2 linked regions of the Elephas maximus indicus genome follow. The protein of the gene in region 2 purifies or fractionates together with the protein of the main gene of each other region. This does not show direct contact. Links are inferred from orthologs where the notes say so. Each region holds a gene or a part of one and is shown on either strand. Other genes may lie near its edges.

Region 1 (7,136 bases), on a different chromosome or scaffold from region 2:
CAGAAAACCATGACACACAGGCCAAACCTGGCCCACTGCCTGTCTTTGTAAAAGACAATGCTTTTTACGTTTTTAAATAATTGGAAAAAAAATTTTTTTAACATTTCACAACACAGGAAAATTAATTACATAAAATTCAACAATATCAGTGTCTAAAAATAAAGCTGTAGCTAGTAATAGGGAACCCAGGGTTGAGAAAATATTAAATGACACAGGAAGCATCAAAAGAAGATGGAAGGAATACATAGAGTCATTATACCGAAAAGAATTACTCAATGTTCAACCATTTCAAGAAGTAGCATATGATCAGGAACTGATGGTACTGAAGGAAGAAGTCCTCATCAAGATTTTTGGACTCTCTGCCCAATTCGTTATAATCAAAATCAACCTCTGATTCTGATGAATATCAATTGAGATGTTTCAACAAACAGATGCAGCACTGGAGGTGCTCACTCACTTATGCCAAGAAATATGGAAGACAGCTTCCTGGCCAACTGACTGGAAAAGATTCATATTTATTCCTATTCCCAAGAAAGGTGATCCAACCAAATGCAGAAATTATAGAACAATATCATTAATATCATGCACAAGCAAAATTTGCTGAAGATCATTCAAAAATGGCTGCAGCAGTATATCGACAGGGAACTGCCAGATATTCAGGCGGGTTTCAGAAGAGGACAGGGATATCATTGTTGATGTCAGATGGATCCTGGCTGAAAGCAGAGAATACCAGAATGATGTTTACCTGTGTTTTATTGACTATGCAAAGGGATTCGATTGTGTGGACCATAACAAATTACGGATAACGTTGCCAAGAACGGGAATTCCAGAACACTTAATTGTGTTCATGAGGAACCTTTACATAGATCAAGAGGGAGTTGTTTGGACAGAACAAGGGGATAACGATTGGTTTAAAGTCGGGAAAGGTGTGCATCAGGGTTGTATCCTTTCACCATATCTATTCAATCTGTATGCTGAGCAAATAATTGGAGAAGCTGGACTATACCAAGAAAAACAGGGCATGAGGATTGGAGGAACACTCATTAACAACCTATGTTAGGCAGATGACACAACCTTGCTTGCTGAAGGTGAAAAGGACTTGAATTACTTACTAATGCAGATCAAAGACCACAGTCTTCAGTATGGATTGCACCTCAACATAAAGAAAACAAAAATCCTCACAACTGGACCAATGAGCAACATCACGATAAATGGAGAAAAGATTGAAGTTGTCAAGGATTTCATTTTACTTGGATCCACAATCAACAGCCATGGAAGCAGCAGTCAAGAAATCAAACGACCCATTGTGTTGGGTAAATCTGCTGCAAGAGACCTTATAAAGTGTTGAAAAGTAAAGATGTCACCTTGAAGACTAAGGTGAGCCTGACCCAAGCCATGGTATTTTCAATTGCATCATATGCATGTGAAAGCTGGACAATGAATAAGAAGACCGAAAAAGAACTGATGCCTTTGAATTGTGGTGGTGGCGAAGAATATTGAATATACCATAGACTGCCAAAAGAATGAACAAACCTGTCTTGGAAGAAGTACAACCAGAATGCTCCTTAGAAGCAAGGATGGAGACTGTGTCTTCTTACATACTTTGGAGATGTTGTCAGGAGGGATCAGTCCCTGGAGAAGGACATCATCCTTGGCAAAGTACAGGGTCAGCGGAAAAGAGAAAGACCCTCAACAAGGTGGACTGACACAGTGGCTGCAACAATGAGCTCATGCATAACAACGATTATAAGGATGGCTCAGGACTGGGCAGTGTTTTGTTCTGTTGTGCATAGGGTCGCTATGAGTCGGAACCGACTCGACGGCACCTAACAACAAAAACAACAACCGAGTTGAGAAAGGAGAGTGTTGACATGTCATGGGGTTGTTAACCAATGTCATACAACAATGTGTGTACTAACTGTATGATGAGCCATTAGTTTGTTCTGTTAACCTTCATCTAAAATACAATAAAACAAACAATACATAAATAAAAATAAAGCTGTACTGGAACACAACCAGACTTATTTGTTTATATTATCTGTAGTACCTTTAGAAGAGTTCCTGGGTGGCACAAATGTTTAACTGTCCCCTACTGGCCTAACGGCTGGCAATTCAAACCCACTCGGAGGCACCATGATAGACAGGCCTGGTGATCTCCTCCTGAGAGGTCACAGCCTTGAAAATCCTACGGAGCAGTTGCCGTCCAGTTGATTCCGACTCATAGCGACCCTATAGGACACAGTAGAACTGCCCCATAGAGTTTCCAAGGAATGCCTGGTGGATTCGAACTGCCAACCTTTTGGTCAGCAGCCCTAGCACTTAACCACTACGCCACCAGGGTCTCCACTTTGCATACATGGGGTCACTATAAGTCGAAATCGACTCGATGATGATTGACAACAGCAACGTTCTATATAGACCTTTACACCTTCATCAACATTTATGTCTTTGAATGGTAGTTAACTGTACTGTTAGGTACCCTCACTGTTCTCTTCATCACCCCAACTACAATTTTAGCAAGGACTGTTTTGTTCGCTTAGAACAAAACAATACATCCTTACTGAATCAATGAATGACTCCACCAAGGCACAGAGAAGCTAGCTGACTGGCCAACAGTTGCACAAAACCAGTTAGTGACTTTTGGTGCCAGTCCTGACTGTAGCTTCTCGCTATCACGCAGAGTCCCAAAAGAAGGAAGGGGCGAAGGCGACCCAGATAGAAGAGAAAGAGAGGGAACCAGACAGAACGTAAGCCTTACCTACGAGATTTTACGGACGGACGATACGGAGGGAACCCCAGAATTGGGGTGGGGGGGAGTAGAGAGAGAAGGGTTCTTTGAATCGGTCCCCTTTCCGCTCCAGGCCTCAATTTCTCCAAGCGAAAGGGGGACAGACAGCATATAACGTCTTTTCCATATATGACGTTTATAATTTCCCATCCCACCCGGAGCAACGTCCCCACGCCATTGACCTGCGCCAGCTCACCTCGCGCCCGCTCAGCCAGAAGCCCCAAGTCTGCCGCCGAAGGCCGCGCTCTGTCCCACGCCGCGCCGCGCCTGCGCCCGCAGTCAGGAAGGACCCCGCAGACGCCTCGGGGGCGTTCCTGCCCCGAAGGACAACCCTCCGCCTGAGGACCGGCTCGGAGGAGTGCCAGCCATGGAGACAGGAAGGCCCGAGATGGAGTTGTGGGTCCCCAAAATAAGGCGCGGCTGTCCCAAAGAAAGTATGACCCGAGGAGGCATGAATCTGATCAGGCACCTCGGAGCCACCCCGAAAAGGGGCCTTCGAGAAGATCACGTGGGCAGGCTGTTGTGGCAGTTGCTGAGCAACCACAGCTGCTAGGAGTAGATTGCGCTGAGCGCCCTCTTTCCCTGATGTTTCAGGGGATCCCCAAAGAAAGCAAGGGATCCGAGACCCGGGCTGCTGGGGTGAAGTTCCCGGTGACTGAATTAGGGAGGCGGAAGGGTTAGTTTCTCTCTCAGTTCAGCTATTGGGGATGATTTAGAACTAGCAGGAACCGGGACGCCGGAATTCAGTTCTGGCCCTTGTTGGCGCTTGGTTGGTTTCTCCGCGTTGGTGACTATTGGGCTGGATGCGGGCCGCCTGCTTTTCGAAGGCTGTTGATGATGACTCCGCCACAAAATCTAGCCTAATCCACCAGGAGGTTAAAGAGAGATTTTACAGCAAATAAATGTCAAAGACTAGAACCCATATAGATAACCTGCCTGCAGATAACGCAGAGGCTACAGAAGTATAGTGGCAGGACTAAAGAGATTGCCCGAGTCCATGGGGACCTGTGCTCCAGCCCTGGGCTGAACAGAGGGATTTGAGGATAGGGATCATTGACCCCCTTCCTCTGCCACTTCTTCATTTCCTGCTCAGTCATTGCATCTGGTTTGGGTGAAAAGTATCCTTCCCCATTAAAGACGTTTAATGCAGGGTTAGATTTTATTCTAGAGCTCTATAGTACCTGACAATAGTTCAGCTTTTGTGTGAGGTCTTTTATCCCAATAACTTGCTATAAAGTAAAGGAACCAAATTCTGAGATCCAAAAGCCTCAGCGGAAGCAAAAAAAATAAAATATTTTTAGAGGCAGAAAACAAAACACAGGGCTCCAAATTCTGTTTTCGGTGACAACAAGTCTTGTGCAAGTCCCCACTGTGCAACTCAGCTCCCCTCTGTAAAGTAAAAAACTAGATTTCTGTATCACTATCCTCTTCACCAAGATAAGTTAAGTAACGAGATACCCAGAGTGCTTTTGGGTCATTTTGTGGGCTGGCAAAGAATCCAGAGGCTTCCTCTTCCCCCCTGACGATGACCCTATGCTCATGTCCATTCCCTTTGCTTTCCCAGGCACAGGTCATGGAAAGGAATGACATCATCGACTTCAAGGCTTTGGAGAAAGAGCTGCAGGCTGCACTTACTGCTGATGAGAAGTACAAGCGGGAGAATGCTGCCAAGTTACGGGCAGTGGAACAGAGGGTGGCATCTTATGAGGAGTTCAGGTTGGCTCCCTGTTACGCTGGACTATAGTGAATAAAGGGAAGGGCTCTGGAGTCAGTTCTGGGCTTCAGTTCTGGCCTCACCCCCTGTTAGCTGGGTGATCTTTTGTGCAGGTTTACATAACCTCTTTGAGTCTCAATTCCTCATTTATAAAGTAAGAACAATTGTTACGATTAAATGAGTTATTGCACATAATACTCTAAACAGAGAGGAAGTGCTCAAAAACTGTCAACTATTGTCACTATTATTATTATTGTCATTTTGACCTGTGTCTTAGCTTCCTGGTGCTGCTGTAACACAAATACCTCAAGTAGGTGGCTTTAATGAACAGGCATTTATTTTCTCACAGTTCTGGAGGCTAAAAGTCCAAATCAGGGTCTGGGCTGTGTTGATTCCTTCCTTGTTGATAGCCCCGGTGTTCCTTGTTTCCTTGGCAATCCTCACATGGTATCTGCTTTCCTTGGTATGTGTTTTCCTCTGTGTCTAATCTGCTCTTTTTATAACTCAGAAGTGATTAGGTTTAGGACATGCCCTACACTGGTATAGCCTCATTAACATGACAAAGAAAATCCTATTTCCAAACAGAATTATGTTCACAGGTATAGGGGTTAAGATTCCAAGTCATATTTTGGGGGGACACAATTCCGTCCATGACTGTCTGCTAACAGATTCAGCTGGTATGCTGCAAAGTCCAGCCTCCTTGCACCCACTTGTAACAGCACTAAGTCCACCCCCTCGGTCTCTGTTCTTTGCCCACAGGGGTATTGTCCTTGCTTCACATTTGAAACCTCTGGAGCAGAAGGACAAGATGGGAGGGAAGAGAACTGCACCCTGGAACTGTCACACTACTCAGGAAAGCACCTCCCAGGATGAGGGCACTGAAATATTCCAGGTAGGTGAGGCCCAGCCTTTTTCCCCAGCAGGTTCTCTGCCCTAAACTCCCAAACCTGTCTTCTCACAACGTATACCTTTGCCTTATAATTATTATTTTTTTAAATATTGTATTTTCAGTGAAAGTGTACACAGGAAATTTGGTTCTCATTTAACAATTTATGTACTTACTGTTCAGTGAGTTTGGTTACATTTTTCACAATATATCAGCATTCTCATTATTTCCATTTTGGTTGTTCTGTTTCCATTAATCTAGCTTCCCTGTCCCTCCTAGCCTTCTCATGTTTGGTCTAGGGCAAATGTTAACCATTTGGTTTCATCTAGATGATTATTTTGAGGAACACAGTACTCACAGGTGATATTATTTATTTTATGGTCCAATCTACTATGTGCTTTATTTTATACTTGAAAATATATGCATCACACATGAACATGTATATATACACATATATGCCTACAGTTACTCATATATGCCTTTCTGTACATATTTATGCGTATTTATATACCTATGTAATCAAACACGTTTTTTTTTAGTTGTTTTTACTGTTGTTGTTTTCATGTTAAGCGACCAGAGGCAGGTTTCTGACTCTGATCCCAGAAAGCAAAGCAGCCAGTGAATGCTGAGGCCAAGTTGAACTGGGCAGATCAAGTCAGAAAGATGTGCTGGGCAGGCCCCCTTCAGCCAGCCCTTCGACTTTCATTCCCAGAGCAGGTTTGGGTCTCTCCATCTCCGACTTGTGGTGTATATAGTGTAATGATTCTGTGGCAGTGTTGAAGGGAGACCCAGCCTGTCAGATCCTTGACACTCACCTTGAGTTCCAATCATCCCCTTCACCCTGCTCAGAGTAAACTCTGACTTATTCTCGTAGACCAGGGCTATATGTCCCCATTCATCAGAGAGACTACCCTGGTACAACTGAGAATCTCAAGTCATGGCTTAGTTGATCTGAAAATGAGACCCACAGGACTGCAGCCTTCGCAGTGCTCAAAGAGCAGTACCAGAGCTAAGACGAAAACCCACAGGCTGCCCTCACTGTCCCAGAGCAGCTGGAAGAGCTCTGGTCTCCCTTTCCTTCTTCCTTTGTGGTCTAGGAGAAAACACTCTTCCAGCCCGAGACCTCAGCAGAGTTCTACCGCGATTGGCGGCGACACTTGAGGAGTGGGCCAGAGCGCTACCAGGCCCTGCTGCAGCTCGGGGGCCCAAGGCTGGGCCGCCTCTTCCAGATGGATGTGGGGTTTGGACTTCTAGGGGAGCTGCTGGTGGCACTGGCTGATCATATGAGGCCAGGTGACCGGGCGGCCATTCTTGGGATCCTGCACAGCCTGACCAGCACTGGGCGCTTCACCTTGAACCTGAGCCTGCTGAGTCATGCAGAGAGGGAGAGCTGCAGAGGCTTGTTTCAGAAGCTTCAGGCCACGAGCGTCCCCAGACCCACGGCCGAGGGGCTCAGCCAGGAGGAGCAGCGTCTGGAGGAGCAGTCTGGTGGGCCCCAGGAGGAGGGGCTCCTGCAGGAGCTACTGGGGCTGTACCAGGTGAATTGATAGGACCAGCTGCCTTCAGAGGTCCCCAGTTGTCGTTCAGGCATTTTTCATTGGTTGTTGTCTTGGGGGCACTAGGACTGTAATGAGAAGCCTACACCTGATTATCTTCTCAACTTGGAATTTTCACAGCAAAAACAGGCATTGAGTCTTCCCCACTTTGTCAGTCCCTCTGTGGCTATGTATTTTGAACTATCTGGGCAG
Region 2 (7,211 bases):
ATCTCATATGCGTCAGAGTAGAACTGTGTTCCATCAGGTTTTCAATGGCTCATTTTTGAGCAGTAGATCACCAGCCCTTTCCTCCTAGACACCTCTGGGTGCACTCAAACTTCCAACCTTTCAGTTAGCAACTGAGCCGGTTAATTGTTTTGACCACCTAGGGGAAGGAAGACAGGCACTTTATTCTGCAGACATTTGGAAGCCAAGCTCAAACTTACCACCCTGTTTCAAGCCTTCCATAAGCTGATGCTAACCTAACATTTCTTCCTCTCAGTTCAGGAGGTTCCCAATAATGAATAAGTCCTGCATCTATCTCAGCCAAACATGTCCAAACCTACCTAATTCCTTCAAAGGTCAGTTTAAGTGCACCCTTTCTATAAAGCTCTCTTAATTAAGTCCAGTATAAATTAATCTCTTAATAAATATTGATTAAATACGTGAGCACCCATTAGGTACTAGGTACTGGACATACCAAGGTACAGTTCCTATATGAAACTACTTCAATCAAGTGGAAGAGAAAGCCTTAATACAATATCCTAAGTAAAAGTTGGAAACCCTGGTGGCACGGTGGTTAAAAGTTTGGCTGCTAACCAAAAGGCTGGCAGTTCGAATCCACCAGGTACTTCCTGAAAACCCTATGGGGCAGTTCTACTCCATCCTATAGGGTGGCTATGAGCTGCAATCAACTGGATGGCAACGGGTTTGGTGTGTTTTTTTGGGGGGGGCGGGTATTTCTATTAAGTATTTATCACTCTGTCTTCTTTCAGGAGCCCTGGTGGTTCAGTGGTTAAGATCTCAGCTTTTGGTGAGCAGTTTGAATCCACCAGCCACTCTTTGGAAACTCTATGAGGCCGTTCTACTCTGTCCTATAGGGTCTCTATGAGTCTGAATCGACTCCACAGCAATGGTTTTGCGTTTTTTTTTTTTTTGGTCTTCTTTTAATCATATGCAGATGTTTCCCCTATTATATAAGCTCCTTGACAGCAGGAGGTCCATCTTCATTTTTTATACTGCACAGAGATGGGCAGGGCCTTGTACACTGAATGTTCTAACACATTCTTTGTGTCATCAGTTAATTCACATTGATAGAATAACCCCAAATAGTAATTCTGACCAATAAATTGCAATCTTCTATCAACCAACGCTTTTAGCTGGGTTTCTAAAATGCGGGAAAAAGTTAGGACTTTATTGATGTTCCTGTCAAAGGTTCTCTTATGATGACGATACCAATAAACAACTCATCAAAGCCACAAAATGGGCCAAGGGAATAATCTACTCCTGCATGAATAAGAATGGCAACATATTTACATTTTCTAATTATTTAACAAAAGCTATGTTTGATATACTCTAAAACCAAGAGGAAAAGTACTTAAGGACACGTCTGGATTAAGGCAGTGTTTAAATCCTATACACCCAACAAAAATAATAATAAAGTCATTGACAATTCATTAGCAAGCCTCTTAAATTGCAGAGACCTGGACCTCGGGTTGGCCCAACCATTCTATCCACACTCTAGTCCCAACCTACCTTCCCAGATTCATCTTCTACTATTTCCCTGTTTGCACCCTCTTTTCCTGCCACAGCAGACTGCTCAAACACGCCGTTAACTTTCACAGCTCACACTACCTTGTTACAAAATGCTCTCTCAGGCTCAGATATTCTCCCCTAGTTGAAAACTGATTGATCTTTTCCGACCAGGGACATGTCATCGCCTCTGTGAAATAACCCTAAATATAAATTAATCACTCCGTTCCGAAGACTCCTGAAACATACTGCTTTTACTTCTATCTAAGCACTCGTTTGGCCTAAGAGAATGTATATACATCTATTTCCGCCGTTAAAGAATAAAATCTGTGACCTTATATTCTTTGGTCTGCTAACCGAAAGGCTGATGGTTCAAACCAGCAACCACTACGCGGGAGAAAAACGGTGGCAGTCTGCTTCCCTAAAGATTACAGTCTTGGAAATCCTATGGAGTGGCTATGACTCGAAATTGACTAGGCTGCAGTGTGTCTAGTTTTGGTTTCGGCATTCTTTGTTACCCCTCACAGAATAACACCGAGCCACACATAAAGAACATGGATGGTACGTGAAATAAAAGTAACTCTTTCTCTTGGAATTGTGTTCAGTGAAGATTTTGGATTTCACATCAGATATCAAGGAATGCAGTTCTAACTTACCACGCTTCATCTTTTCTGAAAAGGGACCCCCATTTCCTATCACCTCTGGGCCCGCTCTTAATACTCCTTAGTAGACTTCAGCCTATTCCCAACATGTCCGTAAATTTCGTATAATGTGCTCTGTATTCCATAAAACGATCAACTAGTTTGAACGCTTCGAGCATCGATAACATTAATGTGCCCTCACCTCCTTCTACCTGCTTCTCCAATAGCCAGCTCCAAAGAAAAACAGCACTACTATGCTAAAAGTGACTGAGAAAAATTTTACACCCAAATCATGTCGTGCAACAAAAACAAGTAACCCAGACACCTGAAGACACATATTACTCAAGGTTGGGAGTAGTGGGCCTCTGTTCAACCAAACCCGATATAGTGCTGCCGAAAAGCAGTTGCCGTATTTCAGTGCCTTTCTGACTTTCTTATGTACAAACTATTCCGACAACAGTTCCCAGAAACGACTGAGACTTTCCTCCCACACCCGTTTCCCCAACCCCTTGCGCTGGAATCCTCTTTAGCAAGCAGTTTAAACAAGGCCCTCTGGTCGGAGAAGGGAAGCAACAGTACCCAAGCACGGAACAAAGCGCCTGTCGGGGGTGTATGAGTAAGACGCCATTACATGGGGCAGTGGCCTGCGCCGCTGGCGCCAAGGCGACGACGCAGGCCTCGAAGCACGGGCTAGGACCCCAACGAAAAAAACACACAGGAAGAGGCAAAAACCTAAGAAGACAGAGTCTTAGCAGCCTGGGCAACAGAGAAGACACTTAAGCAGAGGAAGATCCCTACCTTCGTGAGTCTTTGCAATCTTCGCCATTTTACCCACTCGAACACACAGACGGAACTGGCGCTCCTAAGAACTTCCGCTCGCCGCCGCCGCCGCCACGGAGAAAAACAGCTGGAGCTGCTCTCTGCGCAGGCGCAAAACGGGAGCGCGCTCCGTGGGTGACACGTGACAGAACAGCCATCTAGCTGGAAAAGCAAGGTGAATTGTGGGTATGGGAGGAGCTAGGGCTGGAGGCTGATGTGGCTTACTTGTTGACTCAGACGGGAACCGGGTGAGCCCTAGCGCCCTTAAGTGTGTAATTTTGCCTTGGAGAACGTGGCTTTCACGAGGACAGTTTAGAACAGACACTGTACGGTAAATTACGGTTTCGGGGCTGGGAGAAACTTCAGCAGGTCTTCAATCCCCTTTTTCCAAATTCACCGGAAGGTGTGTCAGAGCCAGAGAAGTGTTCTTTAGCATGTCTGTACTTGCAATGCTTAGTTATGGAGATAGTCAAAACAGCCTCATCCTTCGCGCTGTAATTCAAAGTCATTTTTTTCCTTTGGTAATTGCCTATCATTTGTGTAAGGGTTTTGTTTACAACATAAAGTACCCAAACATTATTGAATCTCATAAATAGCCCAGTAAGTAAAGTTGTTGCTAATCCTAATTAAGAAATGAGAGAAAAACTAGGGAGAACATGTATAAATTGTTTAAGGTCTCACGGTTTTTAAGTTGCACAGCAGGACCGTTGCCCCCCTGACTTAACTTTATGGGTTCTTAGAAAACCACTGACCGTCAGCAGTAAACACTATAAAATGCGTCTCTAAATTTTAAACATCCTTCCTACATTAGGAATTTTAGTCAATGAGAGTACCGCCGCCTTTTTTTCCTATGCATCAATATAATATCATAAACTCTCACATTTGCCTAGGACTTCAGAGTTGAAAAAGAACAGATCTCAAAGGGAAGTGTGGTCCAGGAAGCAGCTTAGGAAAACAACGATGGAGGTTAGAGCCATCAAAAAGGAAAGAGTGTACCTTGACGTGTGATCGATTCACAACTCATATTTAGAAAAGCATTAGTAACAGAAAAAGTGCATTTTTGTTTTGGTTGTTGTTAGGTGCCATCAAGTCGGTTCTGACTCGTGCCAGGTCCTGCGCCATGCTCACAATCGATGTTATGCTTGAGCCCATTGTTGTAGCCACTGTGTCAATCCGTCTTGTCGAGGGTCTTCCTCTTTTCCGCTGACCCTGTAGTTTACCAAGCATGATGTCCTTTCCAGTGTCTGATCCCTGCTGACAACATGTCCAAAGTATGTAAGATGCAGTCTTGCCATCCGTGCTTCTAAGGAGCATTCTGGTACTTCTTCCAAGATAGATTTGTTCATTCTTTTGACAGGCCATGGTATATTCAATATTCTCCAACACCACAATTCAAAGCTGTCAGTTCTTTGGTCTTTCTTACTCATTGTCCAGCTTTTGCATGTATATGATGCGATTGAAAATACCATGGCTTAGGTCAGGTGCACCTTAGTCTTCAAGGTGACATCTTTGATTTTCAACACTGTAAAAAGGTCCTTTGCAGCAGATTTGCCCAATGCAATGAGTCTTTTGATTTCTTGACTGCCGTTTCTATGGGTGTTGATTGTGGATACAAGTAAAATGAAATCCTTGACAACTTACGTATTTTCTCCATTTATCATGATGTGGCTTATTGGTCCAGTTGTGGGGGGTGGGTTGTTTATGTTGAGGTGTAATCCATACTAAAGGCTGTAGTCTTTGATCTTCATCAGTAAGTGCTTCAAGTCCTCTTCACTTTGAACAAGCAAGGTTGTGTCATCTGCATAACACAGGTGGTTAATGAGTCTTCTTCCAATCTTGATGCCCTGTTCTTCATATTGTACACCTTCTCGGATTATTTGCTCAGCATACAGATTGAATAGGTATGGTGAAAGGACACAACCCTAACACACACCTTTCCTGACTTTAAACCATGTGGTATCCCCTTGTTCTGTCGAACAACTGCTGCTTGATCTATGTACAGGTTCAAATTAGTGTTCTGGAATTCCCATTTTTCACAATGTTATCCATAATTTGTTATGACCCACACAGTCAAATGCCTTTGCATAGTCAATGAAACAGATAAACATCATTCTGGTTATTCTATTCTTTCAGCCAGCATCCATCTGACATCAGCAATGATATCCCTGGTTCCATATTCTCTTCTGAATCTGGCCTGAATTTCTGGCAGTTCCCTGTCAGTATACTGCTGCAGCCTCTTTTGAATGATCTTCAGCAAAAATTTTGTTTGCGTGTGACATTAATGACATTGTTTGATAATTTTCCCCTTCGGCTGGATCACCTTTCTTAGGAATAGGCATAAATATGGATCTCTACTAGTTGGTTGGCCAGATAGCTGTCTTCCAAATTTCATGGCATAGACAAGTGAGCAGTTCCAGTGCTGCATCTGTTTGTTGAAACATCTCAGTTGATATTCCATCAGTTCCTGGAGCCTTGTTTTTTGCCAATGCCTTCAGTGCAGCTTGGACGCCTTCCTTCAGTACACTGGTTCCTGATCATATGCTACCTCTTGAAATGGTTGAATGTCAACCAATTCTTTTTGGTATAATGACTCTATATTCTTTCCATCTTCTTTCGATGCTTCCCACGTCTTTTGATACTTTCCCCATACTGCAACTCAAGGCTTGAATTTTTTCTTCAGTTATTTCAGCTTGAGAAATGCCGAGCGTGTTCTTCTCTTTTTTATTAGCAGCAGTGAAAAATCAATTTGATGAATTAAAAAAAAATTCAGTTGTATAATTTGCATTTCTTTATTAGGTTAAACAATAGTTGGGGGAGAAAGGGGCATGAGATAAGAGAAGAGAATGTAGATTGTAATACAAATCATTGACAAAATTTTAGTTCTTGGGTTGGCAGAAGGATCCATGAATATTCATTATATTATTATGTTTTATAACTTACACATAAGTTCCATGTATTCTTTTATATATACAAAATAGTAAAAATCATATATGTATTTTTTTTTTATTTATAGTATATTTTAAAATGATGAAAGGAAAAAGAATGAGAAATAAGGAATGGGAGAAGGGAGTTACTATTCATCAATAATCAACAAACTAAAAGAATTCATATTGGCAAAGAATCACAAGGACATTGCATTCTTGGGTCATGTTTAAAAAAAATAAATTTGTATATACAGGGTGAGCTCAGTCATGTAAAAAAATATATGCAAAGGAAATTCACTAAAAATGTTAACAATAAGTGTTTATGAATGATGGGAATATGGGTGATTTTTATCTTTTCTTTATACTTTATAGTATTTTCCGGATACTTGGCTATGAGTATGTATTATTTTTATAACCAGAAAAATATGTTTTAAAAATATGACAACCAGCTGCAAAGTGGTCTCACCGTCCCTCCTCCTCTTTCCAAGACAGAGATAAACTGAACCTGCTGGCCACATCATGTACGTATTTCTATGGGTTCCTAGGTATTAAATTACTTTCACAGGGCAAGGACATATACAGGATAATGAGATTTGAGAGAATTTGCCAAAAATCAAGGGAGACTCCCTTTTTTTTACTAGTCTTTAATAAAAGAGTGAATTGGACATTCCAGCAGTAAAAAACAAAGTTTGTTTTTTTTTAACAAGTCTCTTTTACATCCTATTTTTTATAGTATTAATAAATAATACTGAGACATTACTTACCCCCTTCAATCCAAACCTCTTCGGGTGAGGTTTTTTATGTCAAAAGTCAGAGGGGTGACCTGGTCCCTGTTTTTATAACACAGACAATTGACAGTGGTAACATCTAATTAAATCTTTCCATTTCTTGTCAGGGGTACTTGGATGCTGACTTTATACATATATGTAGCAAAAAAAAAAAAACCCCGTTGGCATTGAGTCAGTTCTGACTCAGCGACCCTAACAAGACAGAGTAGAACTGCCCCATAGGATTTCCAGGGAGCAGTTGGTGGATTTGAACGGCCAGCCTTTTGGTTAGCAGCCAAGCTCTTAACCACTGTGCCACCAGGGCTCCATAAATTGCAGAGTAGCAAGGATATATAATTTCTCTAGACAGAAAGCAAGGTATAATAATTTTACAAAATGTTAAATGCTAGCTGTAACTCGCATAAATTACCTTTGGAGATAAAACTCTAAAGGCCTTCAAGTTCCATTCTATAGGAACCCAGGTGACAATTTCTCAGGTGAAAAAAGGGTTGTCACAAGACAAGTGGCCACAATCT

Evidence for each region.
Region 1: the proteins of SF3B1 (region 2) and EFTUD2 purify together in Homo sapiens (affinity purification with mass spectrometry; 4 studies listed by BioGRID and IntAct, with this or other methods). This does not show direct contact. The link is inferred for Elephas maximus indicus from reciprocal best matches to the Homo sapiens genes SF3B1 and EFTUD2.

The regions. Positions count from the first base shown.
Region 1 is NC_064837.1:51,315,591-51,322,726, forward strand, and holds the start of EFTUD2 (116 kDa U5 small nuclear ribonucleoprotein component), read right to left. Parts: upstream 3,108-7,136; 5' UTR 2,985-3,107; intron 2,872-2,984; exon of another isoform or gene 2,759-2,871; intron 1-2,758. Other genes in the region: CCDC103 (coiled-coil domain-containing protein 103), read left to right, coding at 4,362-4,504, 5,262-5,394, 6,486-6,935. UniProt on the Homo sapiens protein: Required for pre-mRNA splicing as component of the spliceosome, including pre-catalytic, catalytic and post-catalytic spliceosomal complexes. Component of the U5 snRNP and the U4/U6-U5 tri-snRNP complex, a building block of the spliceosome.
Region 2 is NC_064824.1:95,769,794-95,777,004, forward strand, and holds the start of SF3B1 (splicing factor 3B subunit 1), read right to left. Parts: upstream 3,071-7,211; 5' UTR 2,992-3,070; coding exon 2,964-2,991; intron 1-2,963. UniProt on the Homo sapiens protein: Component of the 17S U2 SnRNP complex of the spliceosome, a large ribonucleoprotein complex that removes introns from transcribed pre-mRNAs.